Nothobranchius furzeri: one gene and its partner. The protein of the gene in region 1 binds, or shares a complex with, the protein of each later gene. Links are inferred from orthologs where the notes say so. Each region holds a gene or a part of one and is shown in the gene's direction. Other genes may lie near its edges. The genes, in order: immt and chchd6a.

Evidence for each region.
Region 2: immt (region 1) and chchd6a share a complex: the UniProt entries of both Homo sapiens proteins name them as parts of the mitochondrial contact site and cristae organizing system (MICOS) complex. The link is inferred for Nothobranchius furzeri from reciprocal best matches to the Homo sapiens genes IMMT and CHCHD6.

The regions. Positions count from the first base shown.
Region 1 is NC_091741.1:108,909,074-108,913,570, forward strand, and holds the start of immt (MICOS complex subunit MIC60), read left to right. Parts: upstream 1-1,542; 5' UTR 1,543-1,676; coding exon 1,677-1,718; intron 1,719-2,041; coding exon 2,042-2,109; intron 2,110-2,184; coding exon 2,185-2,374; intron 2,375-2,850; coding exon 2,851-2,995; intron 2,996-4,497. Other genes in the region: slbp (histone RNA hairpin-binding protein), read left to right, coding at 1-138, 209-335, 421-492. UniProt on the Homo sapiens protein: Component of the MICOS complex, a large protein complex of the mitochondrial inner membrane that plays crucial roles in the maintenance of crista junctions, inner membrane architecture, and formation of contact sites to the outer membrane.
Region 2 is NC_091755.1:51,008,988-51,013,498, reverse strand, and holds the start of chchd6a (MICOS complex subunit mic25a), read left to right. Parts: upstream 1-1,439; 5' UTR 1,440-1,617; coding exon 1,618-1,701; intron 1,702-3,322; coding exon 3,323-3,416; intron 3,417-4,367; coding exon 4,368-4,482; intron 4,483-4,511. Other genes in the region: E3 ubiquitin/ISG15 ligase TRIM25, read left to right, coding at 1-611. UniProt on the Homo sapiens protein: Component of the MICOS complex, a large protein complex of the mitochondrial inner membrane that plays crucial roles in the maintenance of crista junctions, inner membrane architecture, and formation of contact sites to the outer membrane.

The DNA.
Region 1 (4,497 bases):
CCCGAAAACCCCCAATAAGTTCCGGAAGTACAGCCGGCGCTCCTGGGACCAGCAGGTCAAGCTTTGGAAGGTCAAACTGCATGCCTGGGATCCTCCGTCATTGAGCTCCCAGAAGACAACTCCTAACAGCAACAGCAGGTAGGAGAACGTCAGGCTCGGAGGAGCCTCCTTGTGCCGAACCCAGCAGGTCATTTTGTTTTTCCTCCAGTCAGGAGCTGGACCCCTGTGAGGAGCTGGATTTTGGTGACGTCATGGATATCGAGTTGGACTTCCCTACCCTGTCGCACTCTGAGCACCCCCCCACCGCCCACTGGGTGCACGCCTCCTCTGTAACGGTGAGTTAGCGTAGTTACGAACCGACAGGTTAAACCTAACACTTTTTGGGCTCGGTTCTGAATCTGCTTGTTCTGTGTTGTTCAGGATCAAGACTACCTGGGGACCCCAGTTAAAGTCCAGAGGACAGAGAGCCCAGGGGGGCCTGACATGGTGTAGCTCATGGTTGGGGTTCCTGCTGAACTCCACCTGCATCTAGGAAGTGTGTTCTGGAGTCGTTTGGGTTCAAATATTTGTTTTTAGTCCGTAAAAAGGACACTTTTAACTTGGACATCTGCTCAGGGAGATCACTCCACCACCAGGTTTATAATTCCAGCTTTGACCCGTCAGGAGACTGCTGGGATGAGCCCCTGTTGTCCTCGTCTGTTTGTGTCCCGGTGGGGAGACGTCGCATCGACCTGAGTCCAGGAGTTATTTAAGGAGGAGCGACGGCGGACGGCTTGTAGAATATTTTGTAGAGCTCTGATTTGACTGTTGAGCCGGACAGTTTTACGTTTGCTGTTATGAACTACGTGTAATTTTAATATGTCCTTATTACAACTGTTTGTTTGTTTGCTTTTGATGAAGACATGAAAATAAAAAGAACAACCTCGTTACTGGTTCTGACTGGTGCCTGAAATCCTTGAGAAGGTCCGAGTTTTTATGGAATAAAGTACTTGGGAGGCATTCAGGTGGAAGTGAGTACGGGACGAGTTTGTTCTTGTGTACGTGTCGGCACTAGGAAACATGCTGGAACCAGTGTGTTTGGTGAAGGAGCTCACGATGGACCAGGTGGAGAACATCAATGAAACTTCATTTGCTCTCTGAAGACCACGGAATCGATCAAGGAGTGGAGGGGAACGTGTGAAAACTGGATCAGAAATTGTGACCCGGCATTCCCCTCCTGGGAATAGTTGAACGGAGAGCTAGAGAAGGTTCTGCTCCTACGGAGACCTCCACAGCCGAGCCGTGCCTGATGGCGGGAGTCGAGTGAGAATGAGAAGTCAGCAAGTGATGACTAGAAGCTGATGGACGGGACCGGTGGCAGTTGGACCTGTTTTTACTCTAATCGGGTGCGATGCGGGCCGGACCACAGTGTGGACCTTCACCATCTACTGCCAGGAGGAAGACCACCCGAGGACCGACAGGTAAAGAGGAGAGAACGTCCGCGTGGATGGAGCCATACTCCCCACCAGCAGGTGGCGCTGAAGACGGGTTGCTTTTCCACCCGGAAGTGAAGCCTGGCAGCGGGAGGAGGTTCCGGTCCGGTTCTGGTTTGTGTCCGCTGAGCGACTGTGTGAAGGAAAGTTGTCGTGGTGCCACCGCCGAACCCGCTTTGGACTCGGACCGTTGAAGCGAGGACCATGCTTGGAGTGTGCCTGCGAGGAGCCCACGCCACGGTCCGGGTAAGAGCCGAACCCGTCCTGTTAGCAGCTAGCATGGTGGGGTCATCCGGTGACCCAGCTCAAGGTTCCACGGTTCTCAGGGTTGAACAGAACCAGTTTTGTGCCAGGACATCCGGTCCAGTTTGGCGTCTCTGGTTAGCCCGCGGTTAGGCTTTGTTTACATTCCCTCCGGTACCGGTAAGGATTAGGGTCCGAACCCTAACGAGCACCTCTCAGGTGACCTGTGTGTTCAGAGATTTGATGTTTACAGGTGAGTTTAGTTGGAGGTGACGTCACAACCGTAGATGCTGCCTTCACTGTACCTGGGACATTGTGTGTTTCAGAAGAACTGTGTGAGAAGTCCTCTGACTCCGCTGCAGTCCTACAGGTGCTACTCCACCAGCAGGAGCAGGTAACTGACCCCTCAGGTGAGGTAAGGACACACCTCACAGGTAAAAACCTAACCGTCTGCCCCTCCCCATCACAGCGGCGCCTCCAGAGTGGTTGCTCTCGGCTTGGTGACGGTAGGCGGAGGCGTGGGAGGGACACTGCTCTACTCCAAATGGGACCCCAAGTTCAGAGCAGCTGTGGAGAAGAATGTCCCGTACTCTGATTGGCTGCTGGGCCTGGCTCTGGGACCAGCTCCTGAGGATGCCCGTCTCCCTGTGAGGAAACAGGTGAGGAGCGGAGGTGAACACCTGTTCACACGCAAAGTCCAGTTCCTGTCACCTGTTAAGGTTTTCCTGTGAAGTCCACCTGAGCTAAAGAAGGGGGCGGGGCTTGTTGTTTAGAGCGACGGCTCTCATCATTTGTGCTGATTTTGTCTTCGCTGTCTGGCGTGCCGCCACCAGAAGGCGCGGTTTAGGTGTTCCCTGAGCTGCTGCCACAAACTAGGGATTGTGATGAAAATGGAAGATCATCTCATGGTCACATGACGTGGCAGCTGTACCGTGACAAAATTCACTTTCGTCTCCCAGCAGAGGAAGTTTGGATTTAAGTAAACCATTTGAGCGTGTCGATGGACTTGGGGCTCAGGGATGATCTTGTAGGAGCTGGATTAGACTACGCTGCTAAGTTGTTTCGACGTGTTGTGGCTCAGTAGTTAGGAACAATAACATTATTTTTTTTATTATCTCTAATGGTTTCTGTTCAGGTGGAGTTGAACCAGCCACCCTCCATGTTGGATAAACCAAAAACGGATCCCAAAGCCAAGTCCCAGAAGAGTGTGAAGGAGGCAGCAGAGGCAAGTGGCCCAGAGTCCAGTCTGGTCCCACCACCGCCAGCTCAGAGCATACAGGGTAGGAGGTTCTCACCGTTTCTCAGCCGCTCCTGCAGAAGCTACCACAGATTAGCCGCTGAAGGAGAGCCAGCTGTGGAGCGCAATGAGCTTCATTTGGTGTTGCGTTTGGGCCAAGCGGAGTGAATAAACGCATACGAGATTTGATTATGGCGACGTTAAAACACGACAACAGGCTGGTTGGACTTCATGAATTACCTTGTAGATTTAAAACTACGCTGCCTAAAAGATGCTGCTTGTTCACAAGTGGTCAGAATAGCTGGTGTTGGGATCATTCTGGAAGTGACGAGTGTCAGGTAGTCTGAGGAGCCTGATGCTTGTTGGAATAATAATCCTCATTGTTAGTGATTCTGATCCACAGGTAGGATATGAGCTAGATGATTTAGATGATGAAAGAGTTTAGAGAGCGGTGCAGACCCTAAAGGACTCGTTGGTGACGGGAACAGACAGCAGGGTTGGTTCCAGGGTCAGACGGTGGATGAGCCGGAGACGAGGACAGAAATGGTAGAGAAGAGTAGTGCAGAACATGTGTGAGACAGCGGGGGGGGGGCACATGGGCGGTCAGTGACCTGTGATGTCAGGAGGTTATCTCTGAGCATGTGGGCGGGGCAAAAGAGCGCGGTGTAGGGTTGCAACAAACGATTATTTGGGTCATCGATTCGATTAATCAGATTAAACGGGAACATTTAACAATGGAACTTGATTAGATAACAGCTCAGTGGCGTTCAAAACAACACGCTGTCACCTAAATGTATCCTTAGTTAAAATTTAATTAGCATTTTCAGTAGCTAGCTACTGGAAACGCTAATAACATTTACTTTCTACTGCTAACATGTAATGGTGACACATGTACGGGTTGGCACTAATCCAGTTTAAATTGCGTTCACGGATAGATGCGTTTGTGAATTACATGCTACGGTGGCTTGCCATAACCCCGCAGCGGAGCAGACTCAAAGCAGCAACCAGAGGTTCTGCTCCCTGGTGCTGCAGAAAGCTAACAATAAACAGGATGGCGGGGACTTTTCTTCCGCTGGTAGAGTTTAGATGTTCTTAGTTTCACGACCATCGTGTTTATTTGGAACTTCCATTTTATTTATGAAGCAGATTCCCACACGGCCGAGGCCAACCACAGTGCTGCACAGTAAAAGAGCATAAAAATCCACACACGGGAAGAAAGTAATAAAAGTAGTACAGTGACTACTATAAAATCAATAAAAATAAAACAGAGACATGGTACAATGCTAACTCGGCTGAAGTAAAAGCCACGGAATAAAAATGAGTCTTCAGGCGTGATTTTAAATCGGAGAGAGAGGGGGCCATTCTCACTGCTAGAGGGAGTTGATTCCAGAGACGAGGCGCAAAGATTGAGAACGCGCGTTCTCCTTGCGTCCTCGCCCAAACACTTGGGACCAGGTACGTAGGGCAGAACCAGCTGAGTCAAGTACAGAGCAGCATAAAGACGGAGTGACTTAAAAACAAGAAGTAAAATTTTAAACTGGATGC
Region 2 (4,511 bases), on another chromosome or scaffold:
CAAAGCTCAAAACCAACGACTTCCGCTCTGAAATGGTTCGCCTCCTGGAAAGTCTTCACATCCTCCTGAACCCCCAGGAGCTCACCTTCAATGTCTACTCTGCACATCCCAGCTTGTTGATTTCCTCTGACATGCGCACGGTCAAGTACAGCTCAACCAAGCAGTCATACGTGGACCACCCAGAGCGTTTTGCTAGCGCTCCTCAGATCATGTGCACCCAGAGTTTCTCAGGTGGCATACACGTGTGGGTGGTAGAAGTGGGGTCCAGCTGCATGTGGTCCCTCGGTGTGTGCTACAAGAGCATCCTTCGGCGCGGTGACCATAGTCGCCTGGGACACAACACAGTGTCCTGGAGACTTCAGAGGAAAAACGGGAAGCTGACTGCGTGCACAGCCTCCAGCAATATAGCCTTGGCAGAAACACTCAGTCCTCCTACAAAGATTGAGATTGCTCTTGACTATGAAGGTGGGGCCTTAAAGTTCCACAGCACCAACGGTTGTAGGGAACACCTCCACACCTTTAGACATGTGTTCAAGGAGCCCGTTTACCCAGCATTCAGCATTCACTCGAACACACCAGAGTCCTGGATCACGCTGAATAGTGGAATATAATTCTTACATTGAATCTGCATAAAATCTGTTTAAATGCTATTATGTAGGGTTTTACTTTGGTGTTTCAGCACTGAAACACTTTAAATGCTAGTTTATTTGCATATCTGTATTTTGTTATTTATGTCCTAAATACAGTATCAGGGTTTCACCATTTGGGCCAAAACATTCTCAAAAACTGGAAAAGACAGATGCTACTGTTCAAATGATCAATACAAACATAATTGTTTATTTACTGGAAAAGCAAGATCATGAGGTTTTTTTCCTTTATTTTTGTTGATTGGTTTGTTTTTGGTATGTTTATATAAATAAAATATTCTAATATGGATAATGTTTCCAATTTGTGTGATCATTGAACACAAAATAGATTTTTGAAAGTGTGTGTGTGTGTGTGTGTGTGTGTGTGTGTGTGTGTGTGTGTGTGTGTGTGTGTGTGTGTGTGTGTGTGTGTGTGTGTGTGTGTGTGTGTGTGTGTAATCTACTGAATATAGTTGGTGAATGGCAAACAGTGGCTCACATGAACTCTGACATTTAGCTTGAGCTGGCCAACTGCTTTGCGAAAATAAATTATTTATGCACAAATAAATATATTTGCAGTCAATTTTGTGAATCTGCTCATCACATAGGTGTACTAGAAAGTTGTATGTTAGTTTCGTTATTCTTTTTTTTTTAACTTAAATTCATTCCACAGTCTTGCAGCGTCTGGAATTAGAGTTGCCAGAACGGAGGAAAACCCCGTAAAGGTAAAATGATTGAAACGTTTTAAAATTTACTTACGAATACAATTTATGATAGTTATAACAAAAATATTTTAAACATTTCTATCCAGGGAACAGATTATATTATTCACCTAAATATTTGGCATTTAAATATCAAACAACAAAAAGGGTTCTTTATAGCAAATCTGGCAACCCGTTTCCCATCTGTCACACATTGTCATTGAGGACGACATAAACAGTAGTGCACTAGATCCATTTGCTGTTTAAAAATATAGCTTATCACAATAAAGATGGGGTCCGGAGAAAGTACGACTAGAAAAGTATCTTTCGGGGTGGATGATGAGGACAGAGTCAGGATTCTTCGTGGCATAAAGGTAAGGCTAATTTAGCTAGCGTTTGACAAGCCATGCTAACATATTACTTTAGTGCTACGCTGACAACGAAGCAGCGTTTAACATGTTGCTTCACGACTTTTGAGCGTAAGTAAGCCTGTCATCCTAACATCACCTGTTAAAGCATGAAGGTTGGAGGAGAATGCAGGAACCGAGGCAGGTTGAGGTGTCCTTTTTTTGCTACGCCAAACTTCTGCCAACATGTGCTATTTTGTAGCAGTACCCTCTGATAATGAGTAACACAGTAAATATAGCTGTTGAACAAATAAACTATGACATATTTAAAGGCATTCCGGTGAATCCGGCTCAGATAAATTTAACGTAGTGGCTGTAGATGTAACTAGTTACTAAAACTGGTAGCAACTTTAGCTGAGGAAAGATTAAATCAAAACAAACTTCTCGGTATTTTTCAATTTTGTTTATATATTTATTATTTTACTTGCAATATCGAGCTACCACTAAATCGTAATAGATATGTTTTAATGTCAGCAGATCATGTTAGCTTTGCAGCATTGAGACTTTAAATAAACAACATTTGAATGGACTTTGGCGAAGGGCTGTCTCAATGGCAGTTGGGTGCGTTCATGAACACGTTCAGAAATCGAATTCTTGGGTTTTATTCAACTTTTGAAGTGACAATGTAAATTATGGAAGTGTCAAAAATAATATGAAGCCAACAATATATATTTGAATTGCAAAATGACACCTTGATTGTGGAAAAAGACACATACTGGTTGAATGTAGTTATGTAGATGCAGAATTAGGCTATGATTTTTAATGTTCTTTATATTTCTGTGTTCCATTAACAGCAATGTAATAACGACGGTGGCACAGGAGTTAAGTGTTCGCCCCGTAATCGGAAAGTTGCAGGTTCGAGTCCCGCTCAGTCTGTCGCTGTCGTTGTGTCCTTGGGCAAGAGACTTAACCTGCCTTGCCTGCTGGTGGTGGTCGGAGTGACCGGTGGCGCCTGTGCATTGTGCCCCAGGGCAGCTGTGGCTACATCGTAGCTCATCACCTTCAGGGTGTGAATGTGTGTGTGAATGGGTGAATGACTGATTGTGTTGTAAAGCGCCTTGGGGGGTTCCAGGACCCTAGAAGGCGCTATATCAAATACAGGCCATTTACCATTTACCATTAACCATTCATTCATCTGGTCACTGGGCAATGGAAAACGAATAATATAATTAGGGATTTTTTTTTGCCTGCTATTATCAAAATGTCTGAAAATGTCTCATTAGAAGACAATAAAGTTAAAATCGCATAAATAAATATTCTTGCCAGACTGAGTTTCACATTCAGATGCTGTGAGTCATCGACACATGGCACGACCTTCTGTGGTTTTAGACAAAGCTTAACAGTTTCCTTGGATGCCCGAAACACACACGGTTCTACAAATGGCAAAACTACACGGCTGCAGTGAGTCTGTGTGCTCATAAATAAGTTTTGCTGGATCCGTTCCAGACAAAAATAAGAGTATTTTTTAAATTAAAAATCACAACACGTAATCCAAATTTTAAACAGAAAATAAAACTTTAGGATCTAATATTTTGCTTGTATTTATTTCAACTTGGCTGTATCAAATTTGTATTTGTTCTTTTGTCAGCTGTCAGAAGACGTTCTTCAGAGGATGAGAGGAGTAGCCAACATTGCTCCAAATCGATCAGCATCTTCAACTCCGAGCCCCCAGAATGATAAAGGTTTTCGCTCTTTTTTTTTCCTAAATAACACCGTTTACTTTATATAATTCAAGGTCCAGTTGTCTCTTGTTAATATAATAATTTAACAAAACCACAAAAGAAAAAAAATCACTTTCCTTCTTGTTTTTTCTTCTTAATTTTTTAACTAAAAATACACAACAAGACAGTTTTTATTCTTTACTAGCAACATAACCAGATTTTGTCTGTCTGTAGAAACAAGTTTAGCCTTTTTTTTTTGCAACCAAACTGTAATTAAAATGTACTGTAATGAATTTACTACATTAAATTATCATTAAATTAAATGAAAACAACTCATTAAAAAAAGACATCCTGAGCTTTTGTCAGAGCGAACCATCTAGAGGTGAAAAACTGTATTGCACCTTTAAGCCCCAACGCCTCTTGTTCGTTAATGTGCATCTCCAGTCAGCCAACAGAGCTAAAACACTTAGTTTTACAATTATTATTCACAAGTTGTGCCTTTTTATTCAAATGTTAAGGCCCAGCTTGTGGGGCTGCAACATGGGGGCTTGTCCAGGATCTGAGCCCAGGACCTCTTGCACCCAAGCAAGAGGATGTGTTTATATATATATATATATATATGTGTGTATGCATATGTATGTATATATATATATATGTGTATGTATATGTATGTATATATATATGTATATATATATATATAATTTATATTTATTATATATATATGTATTATATATGTATATATATATATATTTATATAATCTCAATTCAATTCAAATTCAAAAATACTTGATTAATCCCAGAGGGAAATTGATTATATAAAATTATTAGTTCTTTCATTCTCTACTAAAGATTAATTTGTTTCACTGAAGTTTACCTGTAAGGTTGAGTTTTAATTGCAGTGATTTTATTAAATGTTCTCCTTTCTCCTCCATCAAGGGTCGACCCTTTGATATTCTGTCTTCCTTTCATCAGGTTCTTCTCACGGTTCCAGCTCTGACTCTCAAGCAAAGCAGAGCCAACAACAGCGAGCCAAACCAAGCAGCCAGTCCAGCAAACCAGTCTCCTTCACCAAGGAAGAACAGAGAAGGTGGGTGGGGTCAAGGTTCACCAGAGCAA